Arabidopsis thaliana: one gene and its partners. The protein of the gene in region 1 purifies or fractionates together with the protein of each later gene. This does not show direct contact. Each region holds a gene or a part of one and is shown in the gene's direction. Other genes may lie near its edges.

Evidence for each region.
Region 2: the proteins of AT1G20380 (region 1) and LIN2 fractionate together in Arabidopsis thaliana (co-fractionation; one large-scale study listed by BioGRID). This does not show direct contact.
Region 3: the proteins of AT1G20380 (region 1) and AAE13 fractionate together in Arabidopsis thaliana (co-fractionation; one large-scale study listed by BioGRID). This does not show direct contact.
Region 4: the proteins of AT1G20380 (region 1) and AT5G48480 fractionate together in Arabidopsis thaliana (co-fractionation; one large-scale study listed by BioGRID). This does not show direct contact.

What each region holds. Positions count from the first base shown.
Region 1 is NC_003070.9:7,059,538-7,065,745, forward strand, and holds AT1G20380 (Prolyl oligopeptidase family protein), read left to right. Parts: upstream 1-1,904; 5' UTR 1,905-2,127; coding exon 2,128-2,237; intron 2,238-2,606; coding exon 2,607-2,826; exon of another isoform or gene 2,827-2,898; coding exon 2,899-3,099; intron 3,100-3,179; coding exon 3,180-3,250; intron 3,251-3,362; coding exon 3,363-3,525; intron 3,526-3,657; coding exon 3,658-4,251; intron 4,252-4,340; coding exon 4,341-4,721; intron 4,722-4,803; coding exon 4,804-4,943; intron 4,944-5,023; coding exon 5,024-5,159; intron 5,160-5,245; coding exon 5,246-5,359; intron 5,360-5,444; coding exon 5,445-5,510; 3' UTR 5,511-5,705; downstream 5,706-6,208.
Region 2 is NC_003070.9:868,313-873,174, reverse strand, and holds LIN2 (Coproporphyrinogen III oxidase), read left to right. Parts: upstream 1-1,866; 5' UTR 1,867-1,999; coding exon 2,000-2,524; intron 2,525-2,603; coding exon 2,604-2,679; intron 2,680-2,767; coding exon 2,768-2,862; intron 2,863-2,947; coding exon 2,948-3,031; intron 3,032-3,212; coding exon 3,213-3,300; intron 3,301-3,392; coding exon 3,393-3,517; intron 3,518-3,622; coding exon 3,623-3,721; intron 3,722-3,804; coding exon 3,805-3,873; 3' UTR 3,874-4,322; downstream 4,323-4,862. Other genes in the region: NAC006 (NAC domain containing protein 6), read right to left, coding at 269-435, 493-730, 782-883, 963-1,301. UniProt on the Arabidopsis thaliana protein: Key enzyme in heme biosynthesis. Catalyzes the oxidative decarboxylation of propionic acid side chains of rings A and B of coproporphyrinogen III.
Region 3 is NC_003074.8:5,474,087-5,480,863, forward strand, and holds AAE13 (AMP-dependent synthetase and ligase family protein), read left to right. Parts: upstream 1-1,768; 5' UTR 1,769-1,966; coding exon 1,967-2,138; intron 2,139-2,383; coding exon 2,384-2,553; intron 2,554-2,666; coding exon 2,667-2,852; intron 2,853-3,173; coding exon 3,174-3,345; intron 3,346-3,471; coding exon 3,472-3,557; intron 3,558-3,682; coding exon 3,683-3,805; intron 3,806-3,917; coding exon 3,918-4,025; intron 4,026-4,411; coding exon 4,412-4,510; intron 4,511-4,642; coding exon 4,643-4,735; intron 4,736-4,855; coding exon 4,856-4,933; intron 4,934-5,055; coding exon 5,056-5,242; intron 5,243-5,337; coding exon 5,338-5,411; intron 5,412-5,552; coding exon 5,553-5,732; intron 5,733-5,828; coding exon 5,829-5,882; intron 5,883-5,997; coding exon 5,998-6,042; 3' UTR 6,043-6,263; downstream 6,264-6,777. Other genes in the region: AT3G16160 (Tesmin/TSO1-like CXC domain-containing protein), read right to left, coding at 21-251, 359-527, 665-760, 868-1,004; AT3G16175 (Thioesterase superfamily protein), read left to right, coding at 6,411-6,572, 6,679-6,777. UniProt on the Arabidopsis thaliana protein: Malonate--CoA ligase that catalyzes the formation of malonyl-CoA directly from malonate and CoA. May be required for the detoxification of malonate.
Region 4 is NC_003076.8:19,642,620-19,647,370, forward strand, and holds AT5G48480 (Lactoylglutathione lyase / glyoxalase I family protein), read left to right. Parts: upstream 1-1,919; 5' UTR 1,920-2,194; coding exon 2,195-2,478; intron 2,479-2,822; coding exon 2,823-3,039; 3' UTR 3,040-3,697; coding exon of another isoform or gene 3,698-4,006; 3' UTR 4,007-4,221; downstream 4,222-4,751. Other genes in the region: AT5G48470 (uncharacterized protein), read left to right, coding at 1-7, 230-298, 396-566, 649-792, 887-1,045, 1,158-1,223, 1,324-1,383, 1,464-1,508; DIR1 (Bifunctional inhibitor/lipid-transfer protein/seed storage 2S albumin superfamily protein), read right to left, coding at 3,698-4,006.

The sequences.
Region 1 (6,208 bases):
ATGACTCTCATCTTTTCTACAAATGTTGTAAATGGGTATTATGTAATGTATTCAACAATCTCACGATTTGTGACTTGTGAGGGACAACAGTTTGGATTTAATGAATATTCATGAATTATAGGGTTTACATAAAAGATTTTGGTAACCGTTCGATGATTTTCAAAGTCTTGTAAAGTTTGCTCTACATAATACTTCCACCTCTCTAGACGTTTTCTTAAGATGAAATCCGGGTTGCTACAGTTTTTGATACTAGTATTAATTAAAGTTTAAAATTCTCCTGACTGAAAAAAGTACTCAGTTTTAGCTATTACAACATTCTTAAATATAGACGAAAAACAAAACCAAAAAGAAATTAAGTTAAAGGCCACAATGTTAATCTGTGCATGAGATATTAATGCATTAGTTTTCATTCTAGACTTCTAGTTGAGTTGATTAAAAAATAATAATGAAAATTTGGTTTTAGAAAAGGTTATCGACTCTATCTATAATCTACAATAACTCATTTGTGGACTATCAAATTAAACTTCGTTGCGGCCTTGCGGGAGCAATCAAGCTTACATAGTTACATGGTTATCCGGAAAATGGGCTTCAATCAGGTATTATGTATGGGCTTCAAGCCCGACATACATACGCATCCTGATGAGTGATGACTGTACTATTCTAATTTTGTTGTTGTTGGGAATCATAGTTTGGTATATATCAGAAACTCTATTCATTATCCATAGGCTAGTAATGGTGTTATTTTAATAATGAAAATGGTTTTTAATAAATTTATTTCATTCAGAACAGTAATAATGGTTAGATATAAGAATTTGGTTGTCAGAATATTAGTTGTGCTAACTTTTTACAAAAATATTGTCCCATTCTTAATGTGTAATGGATGCCATGTATAACAACATTATTCTACATGCATTTATACTTTAATTCGATTTTTGTATACAAGAAGTACGAAAAGTATTCAATAAAGCATCAGAGGATATGCGAATCTATCACACGTGAAACTAAATTTGTCTTATCTGATGAATTTAGTGACTCTTAAGAAAAACTTGAAATACAAAAACAAATAAAAGTAGCTTACGAGACTATATCACTCGCCCACTCATCTAACATTATTTGAGATTGAAATCGCTTTATAGATTACTGGCTTAGACAAACATCAGTTAAGTGTATATATACTTGTGATTTATCATATGAGAAAAGAGAACAAACAAAACAACCATTTCCCCAAATTATACGATATAAAACTGAATAAATTTTTAGTTTTCCCCAAAAGAAACTGTGGATCGAATCAATAATAAAATAACCGATACAAAAATGGAAACCATTTAAAGATTACACAATGGACTAGTCTATAATAATGGGATTGGGGCGGCTAAACATAGCATAATATGGTTGAATGAATTTACTTTCTATTATAGTAGCAGGTTTCGGCTGACTCACTCTCACGACGATCATGGATTCGCTAGCTAGCTGGTTACCACATCCGTTGACTAGTCAACTGTGTTGACAGATGTTTTAGTTGGTTTTAGAGTCACCAGAAATCAAAGTGAAAAAAACCAATTTCTTTAACGACATAATATTAACTTTTACGTTTTAAGTCCTCTCTTATCCTTTTTTAAAAGTCCTATTTTAAGTACTTTCTATAATAGAATCTTCAAATTATCAAATACATTCTCTATACATGAATTTTTTTTGGTAATACAAGAAATCAACAATATCATACGAAACACAAATTTTATTTTCTTTGTACGAAACAAATGGAAGAATACAAGTATAGAAAATAAAATAAAAAGTGAAGATGCCATTTTGGTTTGAAAAACAAAAATGGTCCAAAAAAGAAGGTTAGTGTAAATTACAAAACTGATTAAAAATGGCAACATAACAAAACAATGTCGACAGATGCACGAAACTATTTCGACATAACGAGAGACTCAATGCATATCTGTCACGCGCGCTCTTAATTTCCATTTCTCCATGTTTCCTTTTTTTTTTTTAATGTCCCTATAAATACCCTATCAACACGGGTTATTATTTTTTCCGTTAGACTCCACAAAACTTAACGCCAACTACTTCGTCAAGTCTTTTTAGGTTTTCTTGTCGGAAATTTAAGGTTAGCTAATAGATAGAATGGGATCTCTCCCTGCGTTTGAAGAGCGGTTGCAGTATCCAACGGCGAGGCGTGATGAGTCCGTCGTTGAAGATTATCACGGCGTTAAAGTCTCCGATCCTTACCGCTGGTAAAAAGCGTTTACGTTCTCAGCTGTAACTAGCTACACTTGTTTGTTTGTTTGTTTTGTATGATAACGTTGTTGACATGTTGGTTGAGTTGACGGAGATTTTTATTACCGGAGAGCTTTCTGAAATTTCTGCTGTTTTATCGTAATGAAAGATTTTTAGCTCATGACCAATAGCATAACGAGCCTTTTTTGGACCAGCTCTATCGATTTTTTTTTGGCCCATTATTGATCTTACTGGACCAGTAGGCTAATTTCTGGACCAATTTTTGTTTGTTTGCTCATTAACTTTTTTGTGTCCCGGTTTGGTACAATCGTATATTGGTTTGGTTAGAATTCAGTTTAAGATAATTGATTCGGTTCTCTTGGTAGGTTGGAAGATCCTGACGCTGAAGAAGTGAAAGAATTTGTAGAGAAGCAAGTGCAATTGTCAGATTCAGTGCTCAAAAGTTGCGAAACGAAGGAAAAGCTTCATGACAAATTCACAAAGTTTATTGATTATCCTCGTTTCGATACGCCCTTTAAGCGAGGGAACAGCTACTTTTACTTCCATAACTCAGGTCTTCAAGCTCAGAGTGTGCTTCATGTTCAGGTAATTTGAAGCAGAGTATAATCTTCTTTAAGTGGGTTTTTGATTTGAATTTTTTTTTTTTTTCATTTGAAGGATGATTTGGAGTCTGAAGCAGAGATCTTGCTTGATCCTAATACTCTTAGTGATGATGGAACAGTTTCTTTAAACACTTTATCTATTAGTGAGGATGCTAAGTATTTGGCTTATGGCCTTAGCTCTAGTGGTAGTGATTGGGTTACTATTAAAGTGATGAAGATTGAAGATAAGAAAGTGGAACCTGATTCTTTATCTTGGGTAAGGCGTCTTCAAGTTGAATTACTCGTTAGTTTGAAGTTTCATTATTGACATTGACATGAAACTTGTTCTGAAATCAGGTTAAGTTTAGTGGGATCACATGGACACATGATGGGAAAGGTTTTTTCTACAGTCGCTATCCAGCTCCACGGTGAGTCTTTGGTTTAACTAACTGTGAAACTTTTTGGTGTAAAAGCTGAGGAATTTGTTTCAAAAGTTTGAGTTTTTATTACTGTTTTCTGATTTTGGTTTTGTTTCTGTAGAGAGGGAGAGAAGATAGATGCTGGTACAGAGACTAATTCTAACCTTTACCATGAGTTATACTACCATTTCCTTGGGACTGATCAATCCGAAGATGTTTTGTGTTGGAGAGACCAAGATAATCCCAAACATATGTTCGGATCCAAAGTCACTGATGATGGGAAGGTAAAAGCTAGCTCTTTTCTCATTTCTCTTGGTGATGGTTTCACTTAAAGTTAGTCTTATGATGCAGAAAGTCTAAGATTTGGGTTTGAGTTTTGATCCAACCATTATGTTATTTTTTCCTTTCCAATGCAGTACTTAATCATGTCAATTGAAGAAGGTTGTGACCCTGTAAACAAGGTTTATCATTGTGATCTCTCATTACTTCCTAAAGGTCTAGAAGGTTTTAGAGGAAGCAACACTTTACTTCCATTTGTTAAGCTTATTGACACTTTTGACGCACAATACATTGCTATCGCAAACGACGAGACATTGTTTACTTTCTTAACCAACAAAGATGCCCCAAAGTACAAAGTAGTTCGGGTTGACTTGAAGGAACCGAGCAGTTGGACTGATGTTATCGCTGAACATGAAAAGGATGTTCTCTCAACAGCTTCTGCAGTTAATGGAGACCAACTGGTTGTTAGCTACATGAGTGATGTAAAACACATCCTGCAGATTAGGGACTTGAAATCCGGTTCCTTGCTTCATGGATTACCTGTAGATATTGGCTCGGTATGTGGAGTTTTTGCTCGGCGTAAAGACACCACGTTTTTCTTTAGGTTCACAAGCTTCCTTACACCTGGCGTCATTTACATATGTGACTTATCCCATGAAGCTCCAGAAGTAACGGTATTTCGTGAAATCGGTGTACCTGGATTCGATAGAACTGCATTTCAAGTCACTCAGGTATGTATATGCTTTCTCCATTACAAAGTACTGAATCTGCAATACAAACATTATTTTTGAGTTCCTATTTTCATGATTATGTTTTATAGGTCTTTTATCCGAGTAAGGACGGAACAGATATACCGATGTTTATAGTGGCTAGAAAAGATATAAAGCTAGATGGATCACACCCATGTTTGCTCTATGCATATGGAGGGTTTAGCATAAGCATGACGCCGTTTTTCAGCGCGACCCGTATTGTGCTTGGTAGGCATCTTGGTACCGTGTTCTGTTTTGCAAACATCCGTGGTGGTGGTGAGTATGGTGAGGAATGGCATAAATCTGGTGCTCTTGCCAATAAGCAGAATTGCTTCGATGATTTCATCTCCGGGGCTGAGTATCTGGTTTCAGCTGGTTATACACAACCGAGGAAACTTTGTATCGAAGGTGGTAGTAACGGTGGTATTCTAGTAGGGGCTTGCATTAATCAGGTAAACAGAGTAGTAAATATTTAGCTCATGAAAATAGCAATCACATAGTTACATAATAAAAAATTTACACCTTTTACTGCAGAGACCGGATCTCTTTGGGTGTGCTCTGGCTCATGTTGGGGTCATGGACATGCTCCGGTTTCACAAGTTTACCATAGGACATGCTTGGACTTCTGAATTTGGTTGTTCTGACAAGGAAGAGGAGTTCCATTGGCTGATAAAGTAAGTCTTTTATTTAGGATCACCATAAAGCTTCTCTCTTTTGGTAGATTTATCTGATGGTTTTAATCTGTAAAAATAAGGTATTCGCCTCTGCATAATGTGAAGAGGCCATGGGAACAGAAGACAGATCTGTTTTTTCAGTACCCATCAACCATGTTGTTAACTGCTGATCATGACGATAGAGTCGTCCCACTTCATTCTTACAAGTTGCTTGCGGTTGGTCTCTCAACCTCTTGTTTGCATTTTGTATCTTCCTCTTCTTCTTCTTCATCTTCCATTGAAACCCGATTTCGCTTTCGCAGACAATGCAATATGAATTAGGTTTGAGTTTAGAGAATAGTCCACAGACGAACCCTATAATTGCTCGAATAGAAGTAAAAGCCGGGCATGGAGCAGGACGTCCAACGCAAAAGATGGTAACTATCTAAACATAAGACTTCTCTGTTAAATGTTTTTGTACAATATAAATGCTTGGAGTGTAATGTTTGTGAGCTGCAACAGATTGATGAAGCGGCTGATAGATATTCGTTCATGGCGAAGATGGTGGATGCTTCATGGATCGACTAGAATTTACACAAAGAGATTAGCTTTTCTTTCTTGTTATGTTTTAGAGAGAGCTACTATATTATAATTATACAGTCCCTCCTCTTTTATAAAGAAAATGTACTAGAGTAAAAGTATCTTTGAGTTTTAATCTAATCTCTAAATCCACGATATTATTGTCCAAGAGATTCAAAATCGTATGCATATGCGACATGGAAACTGTGTAGTTTATCGGAAACAACCTGTTGATACATCAATTGGGCCTCAGTGATCAACCGGCCCATTTCAAGGAATAACGACCCAGCCCGACCATCACTTTAGAACTCGAGCCGGCCCAGCAGGCCGAAGCCCGGCCTGGTCAGGATGTGAGTTCAGCTGCGTAGAAAAGGGGGGCACTCTTGGGAATTCACCTTGCGTACCCTACTATACGGACGGGTATAAATAAGGAATAGAAAGTCTCGGGAGAAGGGACGTTTTTCGGGACCTGGAGAAAGGATAGCACAAGTCAGCTCGCCCAGATCAGCCAGTTCGCCCGGAAGAGCCAGCTCATCGATACAAGTCAGCTCGTCGAGAGAAGTCTGCTCGTCAAGATCATCCAGCTCGCCCAGAAGAGCCAGCTCATCGATACAAGTCAGCTCGTCGAGAGAAGTCTGCTCGTCGAAGATCAGCCAGCTCGCCCAGAAGAGCCAGCTCACTAGAACCACCAGCTCGAAACGGCATCA
Region 2 (4,862 bases), 6.2 Mb from region 1:
ACTTTTAAGTACACAATTGAAATTCATAGCTAAATAGTTAACATTACTGCTGCAACTCTATATTAATTGTAGAGTTATGGAAAAACAAAAGTACAAACTAAAATAAAGTTCGTTAAACTAGAATTTTACCCCGGAAAATCCACTATTTTTATGATATCTCCTTTACCGGAGTTACACAAATACACTAACCATATGTCTATAGTAATCTTTGTCACATATCAACTCAACCCACTAAAATATAATTCTATCCTCTCTGGTTTGTGTCGTATCATTTATCAACCCTAGTTAGATCAATAATCTCATAATTCCCCAATGCGAGGGCATCATTAGGATTGTTTATCAGTACCATCACATCATCTTTTTCTTGCTCTTGAGTAACGTCACAATCTTCTTGACGTTGTTGTTGTTGTTGTTGTTGTTGTTGTTGTTGAGTAACTTCGCGAGATTATTCTCCATCTAGCATCATCGTCTCAAGGTCATCATTAGCAAAACCGGTTAATTCAGCCTCTTCTGGCTGCTCACGATCTTCATGTCCCTCTAGCATCGTCTCAAGGCTATCAGCAAAACCGGTTAAATCAGCATCTTCTGGCTGCTCATGATCTTCTTGTCCCTCTAGCATCGTCTCAAGGCTATCAGCAAAACCGGTTAAATCAGCCTCTTCTTTCTGCTCACGGTCTTCTTGTCCCTCTAGCATCATCTCAAGCTGATCAGCAAAACCGGTTAAAGCATCCTCTTCTTACACTACTTGGTTCCGTAAGATGTTGTTGGTGTTCTCCGCCACCTGAGTCTGATGAGCCTGATGGTTAACGAGTCCAAACTCGTTGACGTTCGCCTCTTTCTTGTATCGGATCCGACACAAGACAACCTTTTGGAGGTCATCACTCTAGTGAAGAGAATACTCCATCTTCTGTCAATCGGTCTTGACAAGCTTTCCATGCACTCTCCTGTGGTACGTGAAAGACTGCTCGTAACCCATCACCCTTTTGCATGTGTCCGTCCTTGATCTCTTTTTTCCCATCGTTGCTTCTCCAAGTGCCGCCTTCGCTTCCTCCTCTTGCGGCTACCTTCCGGTGTACGCTTAATATCTTGCCACCTCGTTCAGTAAGCGGAACAAAGTAGTACCACTCGTTGTTATTGAACAAAGGATTGTTTACGTGAGGAAGAAGCCAAGGGTAGTCTTGGTGGATGTCCATAGTTGTTATGAAACTGCTCTGATTTCTCTCCACCTTGTTTCGAAGATAAAGCCTCACCAACCCTAGATCCGTCGGACAAAACCGTGATCCAACCGGAAGAATCTTCATATCGATCGTATAGATTCGAAGAAGAACTAGCTAAGGTACCTATATAATTGCTAAGGTTAAAAGTGCTCTTTCGTCTCTTGTGTAATACTGCTCTGTGAAGCAGGGTTTTCTTGAATTCCTCGCAGGTCAAGCGGCTGAACTCTCTATATGATCATGAATATATAGACAACGTGATGGGCCCAACCGGATTTTCTTTTGTCAGCGATTAACTATTTTTTGGAAAGAATAAGACGGTTGTAATTACATCTATTTGGTTATTTGAAATAATAATTAGATAGGATTCGAATCTATAATACACTTTTGTTTTGTTTATCACAGATTCTAACGATAGATAAAGATATATTACATGACCATGATTTATCCACATCAAAATAGCATAGTGCCGTAAACCGGCTAATCGTTTTGGGCCTAATTTGGGCAATTAAGCCCGTTAAGAAGGATAAGAGCCTATTGTGTATCAATATCTTCGGTTCGACCAAATTAAACCGCAATTTTAATTTCGTGTCTGGTTTGGTTTCGGCTAAATAATTCAGAAGTGGTTTAGTCTGAGAAGACTGGAACTGTGTTTTCTTTTACCTTGAGCTGTTAAATAAAAAGGAAGAGCGGTCAAAATCAGTGGACGACGAAGACTTCTTATCATTTAATATCTCTCCATCATCATCTTCTTCTTCAGCATCAAATCCAAATTCGGATCAAACATGGCTTCTCACTCGTCGACTCTCCTCTCTTCTCCTACTTTCGCTCCTTTCTCCTCTCATCGTCTTCATTATTCTCCCAATCCCTCTACTCTCAGATTCTCCCGTCCAATCAGAAATAAACCTAATCTCGCCTTGCGATGTTCAGTCTCAATTGAGAAAGAAGTTCCCGAAACTGAACGACCCTTTACTTTCCTTAGGGATTCTGATGACGTCACTCCATCTTCTTCTTCTTCTTCCGTCAGGGCTCGTTTCGAGACTATGATTAGGGCTGCTCAAGACAGTGTTTGTGATGCAATTGAAGCTATAGAAGGCGGTCCTAAGTTTAAAGAAGATGTTTGGTCTCGACCTGGTGGTGGCGGTGGAATCAGTCGTGTGTTGCAGGACGGGAATGTCTTTGAGAAAGCTGGTGTTAATGTCTCTGTGGTTTATGGTGTTATGCCTCCTGAAGCTTATAGAGCTGCAAAGGGCTCAGCTTCTGATCAGAAACCTGGTCCTGTTCCGTTCTTCGCTGCTGGAGTCAGCTCGGTAATGAATCTCTCCCTTCAATTTTACGATTCTTGGAGGTTCTCATGTTTTATCATTACGGATTTCTGTGTGATTCTAGGTTTTGCATCCCAAGAACCCTTTTGCCCCAACCCTGCATTTCAATTATCGCTATTTCGAGACAGATGCTCCAAAGGGTAAAAAAGCTAAAGTCTCAGTGAGATTGTAAAGTTGTTGTCTTTTGTTTGGACAACAGTCTTAAGTTTTTAATTTTCAACGGCGCAGATGTTCCTGGAGCTCCAAGGCAATGGTGGTTTGGTGGTGGCACTGATTTCACTCCTGCTTACATCTTTGAAGAAGATGTCAAGCATTTCCATTCGGTACTGAGCCTTATTCCTTGTTCTAAAGATATGAGCTTTGTGATCATGGAGTTGCTTTTATATAAACTGCTCTTTGTTGTTGTAGATTCAAAAGCAAGCCTGTGACAAATTTGACCCTTCCTTCTATCCCCGATTCAAGAAGTGGTGTGATGACTACTTTTACATCAAGGTAAGTTTTGTGAGATCCTGAAGCATTTTCTGGAACTGAGGGCCTTATTCTTTGAGTTGTGTTTAGGGATGTTATAGTCAAATCTGAGAGGGTAGAAACTGCTTAGAGAGACGTTCAGAAGCCTATTGTTAGTGTGAGGGCTTTGAAAACTTTTCTTAGAAATCTTTGATTTTGCTTGCAGCACCGTGATGAGAGACGAGGACTTGGAGGGATATTTTTTGATGATCTTAATGACTATGATCAGGAAATGCTTCTGTCATTTGCCACTGGTAAGGGACTGATTGTCCTCAATCTACAACAAACGATTTATTTTAATTGGTCTAGTTTCTTGGTAGACTAATTTAGCAATTGGTGTTTACAGAATGCGCAAACTCAGTGGTGCCGGCTTATATACCTATAGTAGAGAAAAGGAAAGACATGGAATTTACAGAGCAGCACAAGGCATGGCAACAGTTGCGACGAGGGCGATATGTCGAATTCAACTTGGTACTATGACCAAAACATTAGTCTTTTTCTCTGTTCTCACTCTCATCTCTCCAATCTTTCGTTATGAACCTTGTTCACTAATGTATTTGTAATGATGGATGGAAGGTATATGATCGGGGAACGACATTTGGTCTGAAGACAGGAGGACGAATAGAGAGCATTCTCGTCTCTCTTCCGCTTTCAGCAAGATGGGAATATGACCATGTAAGTTCTTTCCTCATTTGTGAAGAAACTTGGTCTAAATTCAATTGAATATGGCAATGTAGTAATGGTGTTTGTGAGTGCAGAAACCGGAAGAGGGGACCGAAGAGTGGAAGCTATTGGATGCTTGCATCAACCCGAAGGAGTGGATCTAGCCTGTGTTTCCCATTGTTGTGAGAAGAGTGAGTTTATTTCCATTGTTTCATGTAAGTTTTGAGCAGCTTTAGAGGATTAGATAACTGGAGAGATGGAGAAAGAGAGTGTGTAAGGTCAGGTCAAAATCTAGTCTTGTGATGTGCATGTTAACATCATCTCCTTTCTCTCTTTGCGATGGCAATGAAGACAAACTAAGAGCAGTGTTGTTAAAAGTCAAAACTTACCAATGCAAACAGTTGGTTTCTTGCAAGTTTTGAGCAGCTTTAGAGGATTAGATTACTGAAAAGAAAGTTATACTCTAGCCTTGTGATGTGCATGTTAACATGCGTCTGTTACGCTGTCGTTTCGTTTCTTTCTTTTGCCAATGGCAACGAAGACAACTTGTGCATTCAACTTTTTCACAAGTGACATGCTTATCTACGGACTCTAATCCAAATCCATATCCTCCTTAAGAACCCAAAACAAAAACTTATTGCTCAAAGTGTTGAAATCTGAGCTTTTCCAAAGAGAAGAAACAGTGATCAGCCCAGCCTAATGTAAGCCATTAGGCCTCTTAGTATTTTTTTTTTTTTTTTTTTTTGTCATCAAGCCTCTTAGTGTTAGCTGTCATAATTTCCTTTTTTTTTCATCTCTCTCGTTATTACGCCCTGAATCATTTAATAATCCCCAAATAAAGCAATAAATTTCTATTTTTTGTTTGTTTGTACAGAATTCTATGCAAATCAGTGTATTTTTTTTATGTAGAAATAGTGCTTAACGCCTGTAAGTGTTAATCAATACTTTAATCTATAAATAGGGTACAAATTTAAAATTATTCAAAGACAATAACATCCTTAAAAAGAAAAAAAATAGATTCACTTGTCTTATTGTAAAAAGAGCTAATAATGAAACAAAGCCAAATGAAGAACTAAATATGAGGTTCATCAATTTTTTATATTTACTTTAATATTTTATTTTTCCCGACTACTTTAATGTTTTTTGTCTTATT
Region 3 (6,777 bases), on another chromosome or scaffold:
AAGTAGTATATTTCACTTGCCTCAGTTAGCTCTCGGTCTCTTCTCCTCCGGTATACTTGTGGGGAATTGTGAGCAGAAAATGCAGGAGGCTGGAACGCTTCACTAACATTCTTGCAGTTGATGCATTTACAGTTGTCTGAGCACAGAAGATTAGCCTGAAAGCACTCACAGTACTTCTTCAAACACCTGGTTCTTTTACATTTGCAGCCTCTCGAAAGCAGTCCAGGTTTAGTATCAGGTGCAGCCTTACACTACAATACAAAACACAGAACATCCCAGATACTTACAAATGAAAAAGGATGTGAAATATACCTCTTTGAAGCTTAACCTACAAAAGTGATAGGTGTCAAGAACATACCTGATTATCAGTTAGGCTACCTAAAGCCTTTTCACTGAAGGCATTTGGGTTGCGACCTAGTACATTCACCATAGCTGCTTCTCTAGCATCACATTTCTCAGAGTTGTTATGACAATCAACACAATCACAGTCTGTACATACCACTCCTGATGCAAAACAGTCACAGTACCTAATAACCAAGCGTCAAACAAATATCCAATAATGCATCAATCTACAGCAGATAATAGAAATCTCACTATTCAACATTATACTCAAATCTCTATCAGCTTAACACTAAGTAATTCTTGGATCCTGAAATGAACTTACAACTTTAAACATTTGGACTGCTTGCATCGACATCCTTTGTGTTTCCTCGAAGTAATGCCTTCTTCATCTGTCTTATCCTTTGCTTCTGAATGCTCTCTGCTTCAAAATCAAGACCAGTGGAGATCAGAGAGTAGATTTTGGATTGAAATTACTCAAACGAGAAGCATCTCTAGTGAAAATTGGCAGAGAAACTGGAACAATACCGAGAAATCGGAGGAAAAAGAGGAAGTTCTTTAACAGGAGATTCTCGGAAGACGGGAGATACCTCCAATTTGGTGAAAACGAGCTTCCTAGGGTCTTTCTCTGTCGCGATTTTGCCGGAATCTGCGTTTCCTGTCATATCGGTCCTTGACACATTATAGTCGCCACACAAGTTAGTTCCTCAATTTGGCGAACCGATTAGAGCATGAACGGTGAGGAATCCTCAGAGAAGCGTCGATTCATAGATCAGATCAGATCAGTGTATCGGAGAGTCGCCATGGCTGACAGATATCAGAACAAAAATGGAATGCTGGATCCTAATTCGGAACGATGAATGATTGTCTCTCTCTCGATTTTTTTTTTGGCCAGCTCCAAGGGGTTTTCTAAGAAACAAAAAGGTTCTGTGAACAACGCGAAGGTATTCAAAAGCGAGAGAGAGTGATCTTGGAGGGAATGATGATGTGTTGATGACGAAGATGGAGTTGGATTAAAGAAATCTAATTTCATGATTAATAATTTAATATAACAAAATTAGTCTTCTCCAATGCTCAAACCGGAGACCTAAGATGTACACTCCCTTTAAAAGGTACTGATAAAAAAAAAGTTATTAATTGCATGTTGGCATTAAATAGAATCTTCCTCTAGAGTTCAAAACTTCACAATAATAAAATCAATGCATATCAAAGCATATGTATAAGATGTTAGCTAACCACAATTGTTATTCATCAACGGTCAGGATCACATCACTCAAAATGCAATATTCAGATGGTCTTTAATTTTGTGTAAATATACTTAGAAAGAAATTCACAACACAAATAAATGAGAAAAAGCAAATCAGTAATTAACCTTAAAAAAATGCCTAATAAAGCGTCATTAAAGAATAACCCATTATCGCCTGTCACTCACTTTTAATCATCAAAACACGCCACGTGCCAAACTCTCCACTGAATCAAAGTCGCCAAACGCTTCAGTCGCTATTTCATGATCGACACGAAGGCTCTCTTTTGGCGATTGCAACCACCACCTAAGAAGAACGGCTACGTAATTTGACTGTACGACTTGCGAAAAAAGTCGAAACCTTTTAACGAACCAGACCTAAAAATGACCGCTACGACAACATTAAAGAGTTTCAACTACTTGTCTTTAATTAACCATCGACTCAACCACAACTCCTACGCTATTCTCTCCTCTCCTCTTCTTCCTCGATCCCACCCAGCTTCTACTTCGTTTTCCAATTCTGGGTTTCGATTCTTCCAATCTAACCATCTCTTCTGTAAGTTTTCTTCTTTACCTTTGTTTGGTTTTTGCATGTTACATGTTCGACGAAATGTCTTAAAGATTCGTGCTTTCCATATAGTAACATTGATGATCCGTAAAAACCTGAACAAGTTGTTGTTTTGATCTGAATTTATATTGAAAATTTTGCAGCATCTCCAAGGAACTCAATCTGTTCTTTTTTTGTACATGTAGTTTCTATATATTAATCTGAATTTTATCTATGTAATCAAAATGTTGCAGCTTCACAGTCTGGTTCACTCATGGAAGTGTTTAAAGCAGCTTTTTCAGAAGCGTCTAATTCTTGTGATAGGATTGCGATTAAAGCCGATGGAAAGAGTTACTCTTATGGCCAGCTAACATCGTCTGCTTTGAGGATATCTAAATTGTTCTTAAAAGATGATACGACAAATGTATGGTTTTTGGTTTGAAATTGTAGCTACTATATCTACTACTTGAAGCTATCACACAGTTTGTTTACAGCTTTATGGTTATTGACTTTTTTTGTCTTCTATAAATTTCGTAGGGAGGTCAAGAAACTAAGAAGTATGAAGGGTTTGGTAGTCTAAAAGGAGCTAGAATCGGAATTGTGGCAAAACCTTCAGCTGAGTTTGTTGCAGGAGTCCTGGGGACATGGTTTAGCGGTGGTGTAGCGGTTCCACTTGCACTCAGCTATCCTGAGGCTGAACTCTTACATGTCATGAATGATTCGGTATGGAATCTACTTGCCTTCCTATTTCCTTGTGCTTTAATTTCGGCTCAATTGTTAGGTATTCTTGATCTTATTTTTGTGATCTCAGAATTTTGATCCAAGCTCTTGGTTTTTCTAGCATTAGGTCTTTTTCCATAGACTAAAAAGGGTACTCTGTAGAACAAAGTAGAAAATATTCTAAAAGGCAGAAGTTTTCTGGTTTGCTCTGTTTTCTACCACATTCAAGTTTCACAAAATAAGTGTGCCTTATGCTCTTTTTACTCTCGAGAAAAAATGATTAACATTTTCTTGGGATCTAACCTCGTTGTCTTCGGTTTCTAGGATATATCTCTGTTATTGAGCACAGAGGACCATAGTGAAACTATGAAAACCATCGCAGCAAAGAGTGGTGCTCGATTTCATCTTATTCCTCCTGTTGTTAACTCAACTTCGGAAACTGTTGCTTGCAATCAGTTTCAGGATGACAGTTTTGAAGCAGAAGGAAAGTTTCTAGGTAAGTTTTTGAATATACTTGAGATGGTGAACTTATAATGAAGGCTGCTCTTTTAATTTTTGCCACCTTACCTCAAGCAATTATTGGTCTGGATTTTCTGCATCACTTCAGCCTTTATTTGTGCAGATGATCCAGCATTGATCGTCTACACTAGTGGTACAACTGGTAAGCCAAAAGGAGTTGTTCATACTCACAACAGCATCAATTCCCAGGTATATATCCGACCTCCTTATGTAGCGCATGTCATGTTTCAAATCTACCCAACCTGCAATAGAATGGTCTGCATGTATCTAAATTATGATGTACCTTATAAGCTAGAAGCTTGTATATGTTGCAGGTTAGAATGCTCACTGAAGCTTGGGAGTACACATCTGCTGATCATTTTCTCCACTGCCTCCCACTACATCATGTTCATGGGCTTTTCAACGCTTTATTTGCTCCTCTTTACGCACGGTCTTTGGTAACTTATACTATTGAGATTTGCTTTGGCTAGCTCTTTCAAAATACATTACCTTCGGAAAACATCAGGCTAGTTTTAGGTTTTTAATTGATTTTCACATTCCTTTTTCAAGGTGGAGTTTTTGCCCAAATTTAGTGTTAGTGGAATCTGGCGTAGATGGCGTGAATCATATCCGGTGAATGATGAAAAAACCAACGACTCCATAACTGTATTTACTGGAGTAAGTCTTATTTTTTGTTACTTGTATTCCAGACAAATAATACTAGTTTATGCTTAGCTGTCCCTGCCTCAAGTTAATTGTTTGATTTCTTGTTGCATAATCCTTTTCTTAAGCCTGATATAGCAAGCTTATTAATTGTTTCTAGTGTTAGTTAGTATTTGAATTGAGGGAAGTATTCACTATTCAATGTGAGTTTACTCAATTTTACTATGTAACAAAATGATAGTCTTGGCTGAGTTGATCAGTTTCCAGTTTGCTTCTTGCGCTCTAGATATATAAACAAACATGCTTTGCTTTAGAGAAATTTAGCCTGAGATGAGAAATAGAAAGAAACAGCGAGAGATTTAGCTATTTTTAATTGGTAAAGTTATTGTTGCGATACACAGGTTCCAACCATGTACACTCGGTTGATACAAGGTTATGAAGCAATGGATAAAGAGATGCAGGACTCGAGCGCTTTTGCTGCACGGAAGCTTCGCCTAATGGTAAGCAACCAAATATCTCCTAGAAGAGCCAATCCAGCTTAATGTTTATCATTATCTGCCTAGATAGCTATGCTATTTTCATATTCTGATGAAACTAGTGCTTAAATGTTAGCCAATGAAATACATTTTCAGATGTCTGGCTCCTCTGCTCTCCCTCGACCTGTCATGCATCAATGGGAAAGTATCACAGGTCATCGTCTTTTGGAAAGATATGGCATGACTGAGGTAAGTAGATTTTCCTGTCTCTTTGAGTTACCATAATCAATACCTTAGAACAAGCTTAACACAAGCTTGTTCTTAGTAGTTACATCTACTGAATTAAAAAAAAATCTTCAATATTCCCAGTTTGTAATGGCAATGTCAAACCCCTTACGGGGTGCACGAAATGCAGGTACTGTCGGCAAACCGCTTCCTGGTGTGGAGGTCAGTGACATCTTCTTTCTCTTTCGTCCTCACTCAATACCTTTTAACTAATGCTACACAGATTAAGTACTAGTAATACTGTGACATGAAGTTATGATACTGAAAAAGTGTAAACATGATAGGCTAAAATAAAAGAAGATGAAAATGACGCAAATGGAGTGGGTGAGATATGTGTTAAAAGCCCATCTTTGTTCAAGGAGTACTGGAATCTTCCAGAGGTGACTAAAGAATCATTTACGGAAGATGGATACTTCAAGACGGGAGATGCTGGAAGAGTGGATGAGGATGGATATTACGTGATTCTAGGACGTAAGCAGAACCTATAAGTACATTCAAACACAATTTAAAAGTACTTTGTGTTCCTTCATTTAACATCTTATCTTATCTTCTCTGGTGTCGATCAGGTAATAGCGCTGACATTATGAAGGTTGGAGGATACAAGTTATCTGCCTTAGAAATCGAATCAACCCTTCTCGAGGTAACATTAACATCCATTTGAGTTTTTTTTTGGCTCTGTGAAGCTATCAGAAGCTTTTATCTCCTTGGGAAATAGGCTTTAGATAACTGAACCGAGAGAACTTAATCGTTGTATGATATCTCTGGGGGATGTGTTATGCAGCACCCTACTGTTGCAGAATGTTGCGTGTTGGGGTTAACAGACAACGACTATGGAGAAGCCGTGACTGCGATAATTATAGCAGAGAGTGCAGCAAAGAAGAGAAGAGAGGATGAGTCAAAACCTGTAATAACCTTAGAAGAACTGTGCGGTTGGGCTAAAGACAAGCTTGCTCCTTACAAGGTACTAAAAATCTGCCAAAGTGTTGTCAAAACGCGCAACAGTCTTGTCAATCTTTTTTTCTTTTTTTTTCTTGTCCATAATATTCTGTCTTTTCAGCTACCAACAAGATTGCTGATATGGGAGAGCTTGCCTCGCAACGCCATGGGAAAGGTAGCTATATTTCTCTCAAATTTTTTCTTTTTTCTTGAATGATATCAGAGATAGTTGTTTTGTTGTAACCAATAAGAATCATTCTCAGTGTATGAGTATTTTTTTCGAGTTGCAGGTGAACAAAAAAGAGCTAAAGAAATCTCTGGAAAATCAAGAATAAAGACAACCATGGATTTCATTGCTACTCCTTGTTCTTTTGATTATATGACACGTATGCATAAAATGTAATTTCCTTCTTTCCTGTATCATGTACTTTGACTCAATAATGTCAAGAATCAATACCAAATTAACTATTTGAGAAGTAAATCTTTGTTATATACTATTTCTTTGTTTAGTGTGAAGAACAACAAAATTGTATAGTGTGAAAGAAGGAAAGTTGACCATAGTCTTTGACTCTTTGATGCTAAATCAGTAATCATTCCAAAAGGGTATAATGGTAATTAACTATGATGATCCGATAACCATATATTCCCACACGCAAGTTTGTTTTGTAACGAGAACGTAAAAAGACGAAGAAGAAGGGACAGTATGGTAGATCCAACGATCCATAACACGACGACGTATCTCGAAGAGATAGCAAAAGGAAACGGGCAAACCGAGTTCGAGATTTTAATCTTGAAAGGCTTAGAACTCATCCATGTCGGGAAAGGGATCTTACGTTGTAAATTACTTGTCACAGATCATGTCGTGGTAATAAAATTTACTTAATCCAACGAATCTAGTTTTAAGCTTCCTTTTTTGTGTTTTTGATTGGTGAACGTTATTATTACTAAACAATGCGAAAGATGATTCTCAGGGAGAAGATGGAAGTTGGAATGCGGGAGTGATTACGGCGGTGATGGACTCGATCGGAGCGTCAGCTGTGTACTCCTCCGGCGGCGGACTCCATATCTCT
Region 4 (4,751 bases), on another chromosome or scaffold:
CGAGAAGGTAAACCAATTCTGCATTTTCCCTCTGAATGTACACAAAAATATTTCTAGAATTGACTTGAGTTTTGCTACATAGAACGACCAGGATAGCTAGAATTGCTTTTGCAATGTAGTGTAGCAAATATTACATGTTCTCTGGATTTTATGGCTGTTGTTAGTCTTGCCATTAGTTCTGTAGCATAAGCTGGGACAAAGGATTAAAGAATTTTTGTTTTGGATTCAGAGAAAGTCTTTACTAGAGGTCGTCAAGGAGACTGTCTTATCTCATCTCACCAAGAAATGCCCTCCTCATGTGAGTAATATTAAGATTAGTTTCTTCTTACTTTCTAAATTTTTCATTAGCTTCATTTCATGTTTTTAATTTTGTGTAAGTGTTGCTCCATATTTAGGTCCAGGTGATTGGTTTACTCTGTAGAACCCCGAAAAAGGAAAGTAGACATGAGCTTCTGCGTAGGGTGGCTGCAGGTGGTGGGGCTTTTGAAAGTGAGAACGGTACTAAACTTCATATACCCGGAGCAAATCTGAATGACATAGCTAATCAAGCTGATGACTTGCTAGAGGTACTTGTGTTTGTTTAAGTATAGATATCAATCTGTATTTGAGATAGTTTGAGAATGTGAACAAGTCTGAGGATTTTTGCAGACTATGGAAACAAGGCCAGCTATTCCGGATCGAAAACTACTAGCGAGGCTTGTTTTGATTAGAGAGGAAGCCCGGAACATGATGGGAGGAGGTATACTTGATGAAAGAAATGACCGAGGTTTCACTACTCTTCCTGAATCAGAGGTTTGTGTGACAAACTATTATGTCCATGATGCTGTGTTTGTGAACATTTTTTAAACATTGAGATACAGTGACTTGTTGCTTGATCGTCAAACAGGTGAATTTCTTAGCCAAATTGGTAGCTTTGAAACCTGGAAAGACTGTGCAGCAGATGATCCAGAATGTAATGCAAGGGAAAGATGAAGGCGCAGATAATCTTAGCAAAGAAGACGATTCTTCTACCGAAGGAAGAAAACCAAGTGGATTAAATGGAAGGGTAAGTATGATCAAGTGACACATTGTTTTGTTAAAAGAGAAGACTTTTTCAGTAGGCTCTGAACCAAAGATATGTCTTCTTTTCTTACTTGGCCTACTTGATGCGATCTCAGGGAAGCGTTACAGGAAGAAAACCGTTACCAGTAAGACCAGGAATGTTTCTAGAAACTGTCACAAAGGTATGTTTCCAACATTCCTCGATCCCCTATGTTCAACAGATGATAGTAATAGAGAACATTGACCACTTTTTTATGTGATGTTTAAATCCAATCTTGATAGGTACTGGGAAGTATATACTCGGGTAATGCCTCCGGGATAACAGCACAACATCTAGAATGGGTAAGTTCCTCATAACACCAAAACATTTGCAACCAAAGTCTCGTTTCTTTGCATTCATCATAGTTTATTTCTGTTCACAGGTTCACCAAAAAACCCTCCAAGTTCTTGAAGAAATCGCTTATTAGTAATATCTTTTGTTACATCAAGAAAGACTCGCAGGTAGAGATTGCGTCCTGAAATAATCTTGATCGGTATATAATTTGTAATTTGGTTGGTTGATATGACATATAATGTCTCTCTACTAAACTATGCACATCCATTAAACCTCAAAAGTTACATGTGACGTAAAATAAAATTGGAAAGGGATAGAAGAAAAAAAAGAATAATGGTAGTGATATTAACATATCTTTAAACCCATTCGAAACGGATGGGAAAAAATAAAATCGTAACTTTTGTCCTATGTGTACCATTCAGAGTTACACAATGATAACAAACTAAAATATTTGATGACACAGTATATAACAAAGATTAAAATATTCGAGTAACCAATTTTAATTGATTTCTTTCCAACGGTTTAATAGAGGAGACATGCGAACGAGACACGAGTCCTATAGGGTAGTAAATGAAAAGTGATTAGTAGGGGCATATTCACGTAAATAAATCAAAAAGTAAGGGTAAAAATCCACGGACGTGAGAGCAATTGTTATATCCATTTGAAATCCTCGTCAGGTTACACGAAACGATTCCGCTTCTCCGCTTCCTTCATAAATATCTCACTCATCGTCTCTAGATTGTTCTTTCACACGCAATTTTCATTTCTCTCTTAACCGTAAACGAATCTCTCTTCTCAAAGTTTTATTTTCTCTCTGCGATGGCTCAAGAAGATGTTACTGCTGTTGCTACTAACGGTGCTGGTCCGGTGGAGACGCATCTTGTCTTCACTGAGTTCAAGCAGATGTTGCTCGTTGAAGCTCAAAAGGTCGGTGACGCTGTTACTTTCTACAAATCTGCTTTTGGTGCGATCGAGTCTGGTCATTCTCTTTACCCTAAGCGTAAGCTTGACCAAGAGCTTCCTCATGTTCTCTCTTCTGAGCTTAATCTCGCTGGCTCTTCCTTCGTTGTTTGCGACGTTTCCTCTCTCCCTGGTTTTTCTACGTAAGTCTCTCTCTCTCGTTTTGGTGTTTAGCTTCTAGATCTCCATGTTTTCTGTTTTTTTTTTAGGTTTTTGTTCGTTTAGTGTTTGATTTCGTTTTAGATCTGGTTTTAGGTTGTTTTATTAGAAGAAATCTGGAGAATAAATCATGTTTAGAAGTTATTCCTCTCCCTTAAACACGATTTTTTTGTTCGTTTTAGATCTGGATTTAGGTTTTTGAAATGAATAGTTTTTGGAAACTTTTATAACGCTTAAAAAACTATTTTAAGTGGATGATTGTGCCTTTTCTTAAATACGATTACTGTTTACTTATGTGGTTTTGTTTCTTTTTTAAATCGTTAAACAGTGCGAAATCGGAAGGTTCGGGAGTGACTTTTCTTCTCGGAACTAAGGATGCTGAAGCCGCCGTTGCGAAAGCTGTTGACGCCGGAGCTGTGAAAGTGGAGGTTACGGAGGCAGAAGTTGAACTGGGATTCAAAGGAAAAGTTACGGATCCTTTTGGTGTCACTTGGATCTTCGCGGAGAAGAAGACCGTGATCACCGACGAGAACAAAGAGGTTTAGAATCTGTCGTCGGATCTAATTCTTCGTCGGTTTCTGAACAAAAAAAACTATCTATTATCCTAGGTTTATGCTTTTATTTTGTCTTTTGTGGAATCCGGTAATCAGTAAACCGGATCGAGTAGGCTAATGACTTTCGGATTCTAATTTCACCCCTTTTGACAAACTCTAATCTTGGTGAAATTGCATATTAATCTCGGGCTATATTATGTTTTGTTGATGATTTCGCTTCTCTATCTATCTTCTATAATCGTTCTGTGTTTAATCTGTGTTCTTTGTCATTTTTGTTGGTTTAGTACTAAGGGTATAATCGTCTATTTGGAATGAAAATGAAATGGTTAGTGATTAGATAAGACGGAATTAAGAATATTTGTTGTTTTGGTGTCAGAGTGTTGAATACTGTGTCAGAGGTAGTGAAACCATAAACCTCTGTATTTGTGCTTTGTGGTTTCTCTCTATCGCTTATTGGTTACATATTTTTCGAAATTGCCCTTCCGTGTTTGGGCCTTGTGTAGTTTTCGATTGGTCCTCTTTCTTTTCTTTTGACCAGTTTTTGGGGTTAACCCATAAACGCCATTTGGCAGAAAATACGATTTATTAATAACATCCGATATTTAGAATAGGAGTAATAAAAAACATAAACACACGTATACAGAGTCTTTTAACAAGTTGGGGCGTTGGCTAGACCACACTGTTTGGGGAGAGCAGAAGCGAGTTCAGGATCAACACCGAAAGAACCGAGCCATGGAGAGTTCTTGTAACCACAAAGACATGCAAAATCAGCGTGTTGCAGAGCGGTGCAGCAAGGCTGTGATGGGCTCGTCGGATTCTCCTTGCTAACCGCTGGTTTGCACTCATTCAACTCATCCTGGCTCATGCCGCAGAGATCTATCGCTACTGATGTATCGACCAACATAGCCATTATCACGATCATCGCCATCATAACCATAGCTGCTTTCTTGCTCGCCATATTATTATCCTCCTCTCTCTTTTTCTATATGTTTGTTTGTGTTTGTGGTGTTGAAATGAATGTGCATGAGAAGGTGTATATATATCAAGTTTTAGAGAAACCCGTGAACCAGATTGGATTGCTCCATATAGTCACGGGGATGTGTTTTTCCACTTTACTTTTGGGAGAGGGTCTTTTGTCATAGAATCATAAGCTTTCGGATTCTTATCAATTATCAAGTATCGATTACACAATTTCCAGTCCACAAATCTTTTACTACAAATGGAAAAAGAAAATTCAACTTGCACATTGTATTTGTATATAAAATTCTCTTTTAATCGAAAAAAAACACATTAATAAACATCCGCAAAATACTGGGCCTGATATGAGCCCAAGTAAGAGTACTCTAAGAAGTTTCACAAATTACGAAAATAAAACAGTTAGCGAGTATTACTGTTAAGTGTCAACAACAGTTAGCTACTTTAACCACAAAACAAATGAGAACATCAGTTAGTATATAAACGGGACAAAATATAGAACGAAGAATAAATCCAAATCTCTAGATTCTCAATTTTTTTGCTGTTCTATTTTCAAATAAATGTTTTATTTTCTTTGAGAATTTCAGTCCTATTAGTGTAATTAGTGATAAACTCATAAGCATGGCACATACGAGATGATTATTTGGTCTACGAAATGGTTTAGTGGATTTAATATATGTATTTTTATAGTTGATACTTTTTCACCATCTAATCGTTTTTCAACTACA